Daphnia pulex: one gene and its partner. The protein of the gene in region 2 binds, or shares a complex with, the protein of the main gene of each other region. Links are inferred from orthologs where the notes say so. Each region holds a gene or a part of one and is shown on either strand. Other genes may lie near its edges.

Evidence for each region. Proteins that work in one complex are often made in the same cells at the same time.
Region 1: transcription initiation factor IIA subunit 1-like (region 2) and DNA-directed RNA polymerase II subunit RPB3-like share a complex: the UniProt entries of both Homo sapiens proteins name them as parts of the TBP-based Pol II pre-initiation complex. The link is inferred for Daphnia pulex from reciprocal best matches to the Homo sapiens genes GTF2A1 and POLR2C.

The regions. Positions count from the first base shown.
Region 1 is NC_060024.1:10,722,278-10,728,799, forward strand, and holds DNA-directed RNA polymerase II subunit RPB3-like, read right to left. Parts: upstream 3,314-6,522; 5' UTR 3,207-3,313; coding exon 3,121-3,206; intron 3,062-3,120; coding exon 2,715-3,061; intron 2,650-2,714; coding exon 2,587-2,649; intron 2,528-2,586; coding exon 2,381-2,527; intron 2,315-2,380; coding exon 2,133-2,314; 3' UTR 2,062-2,132; downstream 1-2,061. Other genes in the region: transmembrane protein 170A-like, read left to right, coding at 1,373-1,496, 1,581-1,686, 1,749-1,944; neural cell adhesion molecule 1-like, read right to left, coding at 5,419-5,660, 5,862-6,030, 6,228-6,522. UniProt on the Homo sapiens protein: Core component of RNA polymerase II (Pol II), a DNA-dependent RNA polymerase which synthesizes mRNA precursors and many functional non-coding RNAs using the four ribonucleoside triphosphates as substrates.
Region 2 is NC_060018.1:12,589,406-12,596,436, forward strand, and holds transcription initiation factor IIA subunit 1-like, read left to right. Parts: upstream 1-2,284; 5' UTR 2,285-2,407; coding exon 2,408-2,431; intron 2,432-2,575; coding exon 2,576-2,765; intron 2,766-2,808; coding exon 2,809-2,907; intron 2,908-2,978; coding exon 2,979-3,179; intron 3,180-3,251; coding exon 3,252-3,373; intron 3,374-3,452; coding exon 3,453-3,722; intron 3,723-3,792; coding exon 3,793-3,900; 3' UTR 3,901-4,282; downstream 4,283-7,031. Other genes in the region: histone acetyltransferase Tip60-like, read left to right, coding at 1-216; serine/threonine-protein phosphatase 2A regulatory subunit B'' subunit gamma-like, read right to left, coding at 312-429, 496-623, 688-901, 966-1,102, 1,165-1,353, 1,423-1,591, 1,652-1,761, 1,825-1,929 and 1 more. UniProt on the Homo sapiens protein: TFIIA is a component of the transcription machinery of RNA polymerase II and plays an important role in transcriptional activation. TFIIA in a complex with TBP mediates transcriptional activity.

The DNA of each region.
Region 1 (6,522 bases), on a different chromosome or scaffold from region 2:
TAAACAGCTCAAACCGACCATGAACTCCTACAAAGCAAAAGAACATTAATGAAACTATATGAAATGTGAAAAAGGGTACTGATAATAAAATTTACTTAATTTAAAATTAACAATTAATTTTAATTGAAAAAGATACCAGAAAAGAATTATGTACATCTACTTCCAATATGTTATAAACTTGTTAATACTGAGTGGGAATTTTTGTTCTAGTTTGATGTGAAGGAAATTGTTAACTCAGTGAAAGGCTGAAAGCTGACCAACAATGTAGCTTCCTTTTGAAGAAACAATTATTTGGAAGAAAAAAATGTTACCCTTAATTTTCTTCATCACATAACTTGTCAGTTCAATCAAAATTAAAAAAAAAAAAAAAAAAAACTCAAGACTTCCCAAGTTACAACCAATAATATCAATCAAATTACCAATTCAAGAAGTTTTCCTGCAGTAACACTAGGGATGGGATAACACCAGCTTGATAAACTGCATGCAGCACCTGCAGCTCAACAGGACTCGACCACACCTTTCCCCAGCTGGCTGCAACAAAAACAAAATTAATGATATGACTGCCATGAAGCTCAGACTTTGTCATGTTCTCAACTTCTACAACAGTTGAGCAAAGTGATCTCCATCTCTGATCTGAAAAATCAACTAATAAAACCTATTGCATTATTGCAGAGAAATTGATCAACAAAATTTACTTTACTAGCTCTGAAGTGTTTCTGCACGAGATGAGACGTACAGCTAACAATGACCGACATTTCGACAAAATGGACAACAGTTTCGACCCACGTCGTTACATTATTTGGCCAAGTGAAACTATATGCCAAAATTGCCTGTAAATTCAGACAGAAACGTCATAGATAAAATTTCATGGCTGAAAATGAAGATTGACACTGTAATTACGTTATGAATTTGGAATACACTTTTGGTCAGCGTCTCGGAAACAAATGACAAATATTTCGTCCTCACGAAGACACTCGCGCCACCTGGTGGATGGGGGAAATCCATTTTAGCCACCTACCGACAGCCAAAAGATTCCCTCACGATAAACGAAGCAAGAGCTAACTATTTTCACCACCAGGTTTTGCTAGCCAGTAGCCACCTTATCTGCCTTTATTTACATTTTCATAGAATCGTGTTACAATGTGTAGCGTACCAAGTTGTTACAATAAGTAAACAATAATGACTAATCTACAAAACAGAACATGTATAATTTAATTTCGTAAGATAGTCAGCTTCCCAGCTATTGGGTGTCTATTTTACGCGTGCTCCGTTGTAAGCTATCATCCATCAATTATTCTTTATCTTGCTATTAGCAAACTGATTTACAACACTGCGACAGATATCGTTCTGAGCGATAACACTGCATAGCAAAATGCAGCTCACTATGATTCAAACACCAATATCTGCTGATGGCTCGCAGTCAACTAGTTCTAACATGGATTTCATCCTCGAAAAAATCTGGAACAAACCAAATGCTCCTCTTGAAGAGTTCTTTGGTATTATTTTTTTTTCACCCACATATTAAATTTAGAGGAAACATGTTACCTATAATAAAAATATTCAATGCCCAATACATCTAGAAATGTGGTACAACGTTTTCTTGTGGGCAATGTTTTCTTCCATCTTCATTCATTCCGTTGCTGCCATAATTGCATTTCTGACATTAAGGAAGCATGCAGTTGGAAGGTAAAATATACCTAAGCATTCCACATATTCTGTTACAACTAAATATAATCTTTTGGCAATAGGTTTTACTCCATCATAATTCTTTTGATGGGAATTATCACACCTCTAACAACAGGTGCAGTGACAAGCGCAGTTGTGTCATTTGTGTATGAAAACTCAGGACTAGTCATGGCTAGATGGCATGTTGCACTTTGGGGTGTGGGACAAACATTCTGCAGTGCTTGTTTTGGCTTCACTAGAATTCTTGCAGTATTATAGATCACCAATGTATTTTTCATATTCACCATATTTTGCTGTGCTACATAAGTTCCTTTTTTACTCCATGTCCACCTGAGATCTTATAAGACAAATTAAATAAGTTTGATGATATTCGGCTTTACTTAATTCTTCGTGTATTAATTGCATTAATACAAAACCATTACAATTATTTCGAACAAAATGGAAAATCAGTTGATGGCGAGGGCATCGTTTTGCACTTCGTGGCTCAATTGGGTCTGCAAATCAGAAAGTTTCTTCTTGAGAATAGCGATTCCCATTAAGACAATATTTTCTGGTCGTAAAGATCCACAAGATTCCACGTTAACAAAAAATTTGTTAGGTTTGCCATCAGGATCGTATGGGGCTTCATCTAAAAATAAATAAATAAAAATTCAAATAAAACTAGTTAAACCATAAAAATTCGTTTAAAAATTACGTTGATCTGATTCGCCCAGCTCCGAATATTCACTCCTTGGCCATTCTTCAGGTTTCGGGAACAAAGTATGCCTCAATGAATTATCAGGGTCGTACTCAAAGGCCACTCCAGCTGTTGGATTCCATTTTGCATGTTCTTTACCAAAACCTAAAAAAAAATATATATTTTCAAGAAGGAGAAACAAATTGAACTGCAACAAAATTTACCTTTCTTGGCATATGCCCGCATTTTGAGTTCTTGTCCTTTACGAAGCTTGACAATTAAAATTTCTAAAACAAACAAAAAAATTTATAATCAAACTCAGATTCCAAACTTTAGAAATGTTCTGCAGTACCATTATCATTGTCATCTGGTGGCTCTTCATCCCGTTTGGAGGTAGCTGGAACCACTCTTGGATCAGTACTCTTTAGATCAGCAGTGGTGACATTGCGTGTAACATCCTCAGAACATTTAACATCCAAAGTGAACTCCACTGAGCAATCAACACAGAAATCTGGACAAGTGCAGTCTCTGGAATACTGCATCTTTTCAACAGAGTCATCACTAGTCAGTGGAATAAGACCCACACGATGTGCCAAAAATTCATCAAACAAGACAGTGGAATTTGCTTCAAACTGGACCCAATCAATGGCTAATGTAGGGGTTTCAGCAATGAAGACTCGCCTCAGAGAGTTTGCTACACTGAAATGTGATAAAGGCATGATATAAATGTTCTCATTACCAACAATTTAAGTAAATACCTAAGGTCTGTGTCTGAAATCTGAAATTTAACATTTTCCTCTGTTAGTTCGGTCAATTTGAGATTTGGTTGATTGGCGTAGGGCATTCTTAAGTAAGTTGTATTATTCAAAACAACAAACGTTAAGAATAATTACTTGCCGGCTTCTCGTTTCGACTCTCGCTTCCTTCTGCAAGTCTGCAACAAGCTAGCCCAAACAATGAGTCGTGTACAAGAACCTCCTTATTCTGTCACCAGATGGCAGGTATTACGAAGGCTGTGCGGGAAAATTTCATTTTTCTAAAAATTGAAATTTTTTCTAAAATTTTGGAAGTTTAATGTTGAAGATGTTGATTGCGTATTATTGGTTTGTAGATTTATTTTTTGATGAAAGAATTCGATACACCGTTTCCATTATTTAGAAATTGTTTCGACTAAATATTGGGAAATATAAACCATGTTTTGTTTTCCTCTCCTATCGCGCATCAGAATGTGCGCCGCTTTTAACGGCTTAACCAACGTAAATTGACTCACCAGACTGTTCATATTTATTTTGAAGTGCAATTCACTTTTTGAATACAGTGTTGAAATAGTTATTGTTTATATTTAGATATCATAACTTGGCTTTCTTCAGATTTTTAACTTGTGAAATTCTTTTCGGTTCAGGTGCGACGAAATGGCGTCAAACGAATCGTCCGATCCAAGGTCCAAAAAGTTACCGGTATCGAAGGAAGTACAGGAAGTTCGCCATGATGGATTGAGGATCTGATGACACGTCACCCAATATTACGACATTCCAATTGCGCGGGTCCCAATCTGGAAGAAACTTTGGCTAAACGCGGTTAACTGTTTAGAAAGAATTTTTTTTTTTTCAATCAACGAATAAAAATCTCATTCTAGATGACAGTTGTATGTTTGGCATCACGGAAATATTACACAGCTAATGATATTAAAATAAAAAAAATGAAAAAATAAAAACTACACGCATATCATAATAATTAAATGATGAGAACCCAAAGTTATTTTTATCAAAATGTGGTGTACAGCCGGAAGTGTGGGAAATATAAGGAAACATAAAAAAAGAAATTTTTTGACATGTACATAAATTTAAAAAAACCCAAGGTTACGTAAGGATAATGCAAAATTCCGCAATCTCTCTTTCTCAAAAAAAAGAAAGAAAAATCTAAATTTATACCAAATGAGTATCTGTTTGTTTTTTTCAATACCGTATGCAAATTGTATGCATTATGCACATCGACGTCGGTTCTTTTTCACTTGAAAAAGAAAAATGAAGGAAACCAATACTCGAAGGTAATCATATCGTTTCTTGCCGTCCAGTTTTTGAATTCAAATTATCATTCAAAATCTACGAAACGGGATCAATTTTCATCGTAGAATAAAAAAGGAAAGCGAACAGAGTCGAGGGATCAAAAGTAATTTGAACATTGTACATCCCCCGCTGTATATTCCCCCCCCCCCAACACACCAGTAAACTTTGACTTTTTAAAATACAAAAACCAAAGATTATGTCATCAAACGCGTCAAAAGCCATGTAATATTAAGGACTGAGCTGAGGAGGGACGATTGGGGCAAAGGTAGAGAGTAGGAGCTGCTAAATCCTTGCCATTCGATATACTTAGTTTATAGGTGTCTACCTGGGGGGCTTCTCGAAGGAAATGCTAAACACACACGTAAAGCCATAGAGATATAAAGTTGGAGGAACTGGTATAAGGGGGAGGATGAGAGAACGGCCACTCAATATTATTCTAATTAGCGCACAATATTTCTGGAACCGAGGGTTATTATATAAGAGGAAAAGAAAAAATATGTACAAAAAGATTACTATCATCTTTAAAAAAAAATCTTATCAGGCCCCAATGAAAGAAATATATGAATCAAAATTAAAATTTTTAAAAATTCGGCTTTTTATTTTGTTTGAAAAAACTTATATCAGCGCTGGCCTCCCTTAATTTGATTTTTTTTGTTTTTATTTTTATTATTTTTATTTTAATTTTCTTTACAAACTGATTGAGAGAGATGTGTGACGAGTAAAAAAAAATGAGTCGGGGGAATAAAATGGAGTCCTCAAACTCAAAACTCCTCATGATAGAAAAAAAAGAGTTTAAACTTAATTCCCTCCGTTATTTTGTTTTACTTGGAAAAAAGAAAGAAAGTAAATTCGAATTGATAAGAACGGCTTTTGTATGTATAGCTGGGGGGCTGGGCAACGGTTGCGAAGGAGAATTTTCCCTTTTATCTTTTGAAATATTTCTAGAATAAGAAATAAAATAAAATAAAATAAAAAAATGGTAACTCGTATTTAGATGTAGATGTTGGCGGACGCCAGTGCGGCGATCAATAGAGTGAGGAGCGAGTGACAGAGTAGCTGCTGCTGGGCCGGAGCTGAGTTGAGAACGGGCACGGCCGCGGCTACGAGTTTCTTGGTTTTCTCGACCTGGACGTCGGCGTAGTCTCCGGTGCCGGCCGCAGTGCGTGCTGCAACCCTCACTTCGTAAGTCGTATCCTGCTGCATTCCGGCGACTCTGTACGGCTGGCTGGGCACTGTTTTATGTCATCAAGTTAACGACAAAAACAAGAAAAAACAAAACACACACAGACGGATTTAGGCATTAGAATCTGAAACTTTTTCCCAGCTGATGTAGTAGAAACGAATGGTAAATGCTATGCGGATTGACTTGAGCGGATGAGAGGAAGTGCAACGATGAATAATAATATCAGTTTCCAAGTTTGCCTTTTTCTTACTTCTTTCGAATTCTTTTTCTTGTGCCCGGCTCCACTCCTGGGACGCTTGTTTGAACTGCACCACGTAGCCGGTCACGTCCATTGGATTCCGGACGCCAGCGTCCTGACCTCGATCCGAGACCACGTCCGATTCTTCAATCTCCAAAACGAAACTATCCGGGTGTGTAATCTAGCGGAATGACAAACAAGTATATCAAGGATGAGGGGCTATCATTAGTCACGATGTCACGAACGCCACAATATTGATTGCATTAGTCAGATACACTAGGTTGGATCCTTCCGCTCTATAGAGTTCCCGGAAGTCAAACTATTATTTATTATTATTCCTGAACTGCGATCCGCAGCGGAGTAGAGAGAGAAACTGACTTTGATTTTGAAAGTAGGAGCTGAGGGTTTGGTGGCCTGTTCCAGGACGATGACGCGGGCCATGGTGCCCAGCATGTTGGTGGCCCGGCACTCGTAGTCGCCAAAGACGGACTCGTCGTAAATGTAAAGTTGGAGCGAGCTGTGATGATCCGAATTGAAGATCTGGACGTCGTCGCTGGGATGCAGCGTCTTGTTGTCCTTGATCCAAATGAAATCGGCGCCGGGCTCGGCCACGGCCGAGCACGTCATGTTGACAGTGCCGCCAATAAAACCATAAGCTTCTTTGGTGTGATCC
Region 2 (7,031 bases):
GAAATTTGCGAAATGACGAGCATTAAAAAAGAGGACGTGGTGTCCACCTTACAGCATTTGAACCTCATCAATTACTACAAGGGGCAGTACGTACTCATTCTGAACGAAGAAGCGATGAAAAATTGCATAAAAAACAAAGAGAAATGGAAATTACACATCGATCCCAAATGCTTGCACTGGACACCGAAAGACTGGTCCAAAAGAGGGAAATGGTGATGAGATCGCACCTACAATCCATTCCGCGATCTTGCTACTTCTTTGCTTTTTTTTAAAAAATACACTCACAATTTCTATGTACAAGAATTCCAAATTCAAATGTCCTGTTTCTCTTGGTTATTCTTGTCTGTTACGACAACAGCTTCACGGTTCTCGTATGTCCAAAATCCATCCAAATCAATCAAGATATTGATCACAGTTTCACCGTATCCACTGAGCCAGAAAACGTTCAATGACAATCTTATTCTAAAAAAATTCTAAATGAACTTTGTGTGTTACCAGTTAATCAAATCATGTAAAGTGATTTTTGACGGATCGGCAGGACGCACCATATCGAAAATCTCATCATTGACGTCGTCAAAAGCAACGACTTCTTGTTTGTGCTGCTGCATCAACTCTTGAACCCCCTGCAAAGCATTTTTTTTTTTTTCAAGATAAGAAAGTCAAAAGGTCAAATGAGGAAATTAATACTTTGAAGTAAAAATGGAGGTCAAAAGTGTTGAGATGGTTTCGATGATTGACGTCCAACAAACGGAAAAAATACTGAAGTGCTTGTGGTTCCTTTTTATTGTCCATGGCCAATACGAAATCCAAGTACGTTTTATAATCCATTTCTTTCTCATAGGTCATGCACTCCTCGAATACTCGTTGAATGAAAACTCGCGTCAACGTGCCAGTTCCGAATCTGAAAATTAAATTTAAAAAAAATCTTAAATGTACGTACTGCAAATTGAAATATGGTAAATTACCGTCTGAGCTCTTCCTGACAAAGCATGCCGTTTCTGTTGGTATCTAAATTTAAGTATTGACCGTAGACTCTCAGAGCGGAGGGCGCAGAAAACCAGTTTGAATCCTGTGCATCTTTGGGCAGCTCTTCATCCCGTAGCTGATGAATTATAATATTTTTAGCGAGAAGAATGACAAAAGAATCAGGAATATACTAAATACCTCTAAAAGTTCGTCCAGAAAACCAGAAGCGAGAATATCCTGTATCCTGACTTTGCCTAGCTTTAATGGATCTAGGAAAAAGAGGAACTTGCGTACGGCGGTACAGACGTAAAACGAATGGAATGACTTTTCAAGCCCTTCTAACTGTGGCAATGTTGGGATAAGTTCAGTTATGTAGTTCTCTAAATCCTGGGAAAAACAAAAATAGATAAGTAAATTACATATTGCAAAAACAAAAAACATATTGCTGATGTTCACCATTTCAGTAAGCAGACCTTGTCCTGTGGCATCATATAATGAAAGACCAATTCTAGTTTGCTGTAACCAAACTTTCCTCATGATGTAATTGAACACTGCCATGGTTGATATTCTGCCATGAATATCATTCTGCAATAGCCTTGCAAATACATCTGGTGTAAAGAATGCTCTGTATAGGGGAATTCAAAAAATAACTTGGTGTTCCCAATCAAATATTTACATGTCTTACTTATATTTTGGACCAGCTATGTTGCCTACTTTGAGAAAATCAATATAATTGATCATCTGCTCAGAACCAGCAGGAGGGCTGTGATTTTTGTCAAGTAAAGTCCAGAGATTCTAAAGACAGGATGAAAATCTTATTTACCAGTAGCACAAACACTGGCAATGACATTAACAAACCTGCAGTTCATTGTTATCGAGGAGTTCTTTGCTCTTCTTCTGAAGGAATGCTGTTCTAGCTTCTTCTCTCAGTTTAAGGCTAATCATGTTTTCATGATTAGGAAGCTGTGTAACAAAAACATAAGAAATTTATAGGGAATCAATTGGAAGTTATGCTTACTTTGGTATAGAACTTTGGAACTGGCATGCTTTCTTCCGAGCATTGCTTGCTATATTTGAGACCTTCGGAATACAACTTTTGGAAGGTATCTTCATCTTCGGCGTTTAAAACCAAAATCTCGGATTTTTCATCCATCTCGTTGATGAAAATCAACGAATACTGAGACTTAGGCCGCTAATAAAAACGTTTCTTGTTCATTCGATTCAAACGTGTCGAAACGATAACAAACGGCTTTACTTTTAGCAGAAAGAATGTTTTTTTCGACCGCTAGATGCTATGCTTAGCCAAAATCACGCTTCGTGGCGCTGCCATCGGGGGCATTTCGATATATATTGCCGCGTCAGTCTTAGTTTTCATGTCGGCTTCCTGTTGAACGAAGCCCTCCCGGAATTGAAATCAAATAAAATTCAATTTCGTTAAAGAATGGCCGCCAATCAGGCACTCGTGGTATTTATTTACCTTTTACTTTATGATAATATTTCATGGGGAATAGTACCTGGAAACTGTTGTTGCATTGACGATTCCACTCCACGAGCTCGATCTCACTCCTCGTTGGTCTAATTAAGGACTTTTATATTTCTTTTTTTGTAGTCGAAACTGTATCGTGGCGTTATTGAAGATGTTATCAACGGGGTTCGAGAGGCGTTTCTTGACGAAGGAATCGATGAGGCTGTACTTCTCGAATTGAAGCAGAATTGGGAAAACAAATTGCAGTCCAGCAAAGCAATCGACCCTGTGACCGATCCTGCTGAAACTTCTCTCCAAAGCAAACTGCAACAAAGTATCCAATATCGATTATGAGACTTTATCATGTATGAAAAAAGGGTCTTCTTTGCCGTCAAAAGCAGGTCAGCAGGCTAGCTCTACAGCTCCTGCGAACAATTCTACACCTCAACAGGCAGCCACTACGGCAAAGCAACCAGGTAGTTGGGTATACTGTTACATTGAGTGCATTATTATTAATTGTTTTGTTTGTTTGTTTTTATTTTCTCTAAAGCAGCAGCAGCAGCCCAAACCCCAGTGACTACCCCTAATGCAGCTACAGGTGCAGCAACAACAGCAGCAGCTGCAGCCCCTGCTACGACAACAGTAAGGACGGTGCCAGTCCAAATCACTGTTCCTCCTCAGGCTGGAGTAGCAGGTCATACAGCAGCCAAGAGCATCACTGTTCACGTTCCAGCTCATGCTCTTCAAGGTTATTTCCCAATTGAATCTCGTTCGTACTAGCTCCAATCTAATTTCTTTACTATTTGTAATAATGTCACAGGTGGCGCAGCGGGAGCGCAGCTGCAAACGATCCTGAGTTCACCGGCTGTGACGGCGGCTCTCTCTCTTCCAGTTGAAATGGCCACGACTGTCTTGCAGCAGCACATTAATAACGCGTTGCAGGTACCATTGGTTGAAATTGAATCCACTCGAAAGTGTATATAATAATGTGTGTACAATGCATTATTACTTTTCTTTGTAGTCGACAGCTGCACGGAGCCAATCGCGAACTGACAATGGAGGAGTCACACAGTTGGATGGACCCGGAGACTCTTCGGACGACGACGACGATGTTGAAGATGATGACGATGACGACGTGGAAGAAGAGGACGATCATGACGACGAGGAGATTGACGCAGACAACGAAGAGAACGCAGACGAGGAGCCACTCAACTCTGAAGACGATGTGACTGATGATGATCCCTCAGTGTTATTTGAAACTGATAACGTCGTCGTGTGCCAGTACGACAAGGCAAGGATTTGAATTTTAGCATTCGAATTGGAATTGAAATGTTTTAAATGACTTTTTTTTCTATTTGTAGATTACGAGAAGTCGAAACAGGTGGAAGTTTCATCTCAAGGACGGCATCATGAACATTAACGGTCGCGATTACGTCTTTCAAAAGGCCAACGGTGATGCAGAGTGGTGAAAATATTCAAGGTTGAAATTGCGCTACTAGGGGAAAATCAAGATAATGTTTCATTTAATACAATCCGGAGGAATTTCGCTTTCAATTTAAGGATTTTTCGTGTGCCTGTGCGTGTGCATGTGCGGAATTTCTTTTTTCATGTCGGGTGTTGGATGAGCGGTGGAGAGGAAAAAATACCTGGGGACAAAGAAACAAAAGCCATTCGTGTTTGTCCTCCCTCGCTTCTTTTGTTTCGTTTCTCTTTTTTTGTTAACACACAAAACTTTCCGAATTCTTTTTTTGTCTCATCTTTTCCCTGTTCGCTGCAGAAGCTGTTGTCGCCCCCTTTTGATTCAGGAATATTTAGAAGAAGAAGAAAAATATATGTTCAAATTACCAAGAATTGCAATTAGTTTTCGAGAAGATTCTAATAACGTGACCCAAAACTAGTCCAAGACCCAGGGGACAATGTTACTAATTACGGTACCGAAAAATTCTTGTAATCGTATACAGTTGGTGGTGGACATTTTCAATGTTAGTCGGAAGAAATCTAGATTAGGTTGTATACATGGGAAGTCATTCAGGCGAGCGTACGGGGACTTGAAAGCAAATAACCAAGTGGTCAAAAGCTTACATCCGTTTGCAGTCATCACCGGGGAATTGCTCATCCAACTATTGGATTCGGTACACGTTAATGGAGTTTCTACACGATAGCAGCGCGGTAGGAGTTGTTGGCGTCCGCCAAAAAGTTTCCTAGAGCCGTTAAAAGGCAACCAGCACAAAACTAAACGAACTTTGCTGTTGCCAGGACCTTAGGATTCGACCTGCTGGACTCATTATCAAAACTAAAAAAAAAACGAGGGGAAAAGTTTCAACAAGGACGGACTGGGGCGTTCTTCCATCTGCTTATCATGAAAATAAATTCAAAAATTTCTTTTTGAAATGGTTGATGTCACAGGGGAGGACATGTTTCATGTGAATGATATGACATGAACTAGTGAAATGTTTACAGTATATTCAGGATGGCTTTTAATCGCGTGTCACAACATCCGTTCCTAATGAGCGCTCCCAGTCGTTGGGGGGCTGCTGCTGCTGCCTGTAGCTAGCCGGATGGATGGTTCCATGTTTTTCAAGTGGTGACGACAAAAGACGGCCAACCAGTCACGCACATGCTTAAAACACATGCCGAAATGTAACTTTGTTCACGTATACCCCAGCAATTGGAAGGACCCTGTAAACTATAAAAATCATGGAAATAATTTGGTTAAAATAATGACTATTATTTAATGTGATGATGGAAGAACCTAAGTCATTAATTAGAACAAGTAGACCTACTCACCAGTTTTACAAAAAACCATTTCACGTCGCTATGGTGATCGTCCGTGCGTGTATAATTAGACAATTAATTGCCTTTGATTCCATGAAATCTAAATCAGGTCATATAGTTCCGATTTGACACGAAAAGTTGAGTCAATTATATCGCACGAAAAAATGGTTTTAAAAACATACAATCAGTCAAGTTACAGTGGCAACTTTGGTCGAAAGTTCGCATCTCTTAAATGTGAAACTTTAAAAGTGAAAAGTCCAATTAATCTTATAATTAAATGATTCCACCATGTCACACTTAGAATTCACCCTTTATTCGTCGAGCCATTGTTTAAGTGCATGTTAAAAACAACAGCAGTATCCTATAAGCACATGAGAAAACAACACAACTTTTTTGAAGGGCGTAATAGCTTTTAGTCATTTTCGGGAGAACGAATCTAAATATTTTCACTGGATGGAAAAAGTTTTTGGGAATTAAACAGCTTGACGTTGTTGAGTTATTCGCTTATGCGATGACAGCGGATCCCTCGAGTGTTATCCCAAGACTATATAAATAACCTCCATCGTTATTACGATGCCTATCATCTTAGGGCTTCAATTAAGATCCTCCGTATAATGGGATTAAAACGAGTTTTGTATTTCGAATTCATTGGATGATGACCTTTTTAAAAATAGGGTGGGATCCTTTAGCTAATAGATTGCAGCACGCAGGACGAAAGGGTTGGAGGAGATCGGATCTTACGGGATCGGTTTGAGTCACTTTCATTCCACTGGGAAACTGCTGCGTCATTTCTAGCGGCTCGTGGCTGCACTATGCAACGTGAATATTTCAACGACCGCATTCTCTAGTAGTGGTGCTGCGATATATTTCGAAAAATAAAAAACCCCAAAAAACCACTCGACAGTTCGCCTGATCCTCGCTGACCCATATCCTATACAACCCATAAACCGTCTGGCCTCGATACATGATATGAAAATATGCAAAACAGGATCAATATTGAAGTATCATACCAGACGGTACATCACAGACGAATACCATTTTATTGATTCGAATAAATGCCGAGGGCTGTACTCAAAATGCATATTGATGGGCACATTAATCTCATCCATCATCTCTCGCCTATCTATTCATTTTTCGCTCGTTCCCTAATTGGCCGTTGGTTGATATTCCACCGTGTGCCTGACTCATCGTGTTTGGCGATTGCTGACGAAATGTCAATACGGAAAATAATTGTTGATTCGTGATCAGTCACGTAGTGACACCATCTGGGAGTATTATTTGATTGGTTTCGTACGTGTCTAGTCCGCCCACTTACGCCTTTAAGCGAACCCCACTACGGTGGGTGTGAATGTCTCCTAACGATTGTTTGATAAAAGGATTGCGGGGTTCAAGAGCATTCCACACTTCATTATCATTACGTCTACAGAGGAAATCTTGTCAATGTCTAATTGAAGTAGTCAAGGTTCGAATCTTTACATGCAGAAAGGAAGTGATTGTCAATCATTAGATCTATATTTATCTTAATTAATTCAAATTAATAAATTTCAAATGAATAAAATCCGCAGTTAAATTAAGGGAAAAGCAACAGAAATTTCTGTTAGATTGAAGTACTTGGAAGTAAACATTCGCCGGGAAAAATAAGGTCTCAAGGTCTTTTCAAGGTTTCGACGTATTTGTTTTCCCGACACCTGGCATGCAGGGGATCGATCCTGGTTACTTTTCAAAATAGCATGGGAATTCTTCCATTCCTGGCTGTAGTATAGAATGTTGCCTGCTATTAACGAGTGCTGCTCTCATCATTCACCGAATTTCTTAATCGAATAAT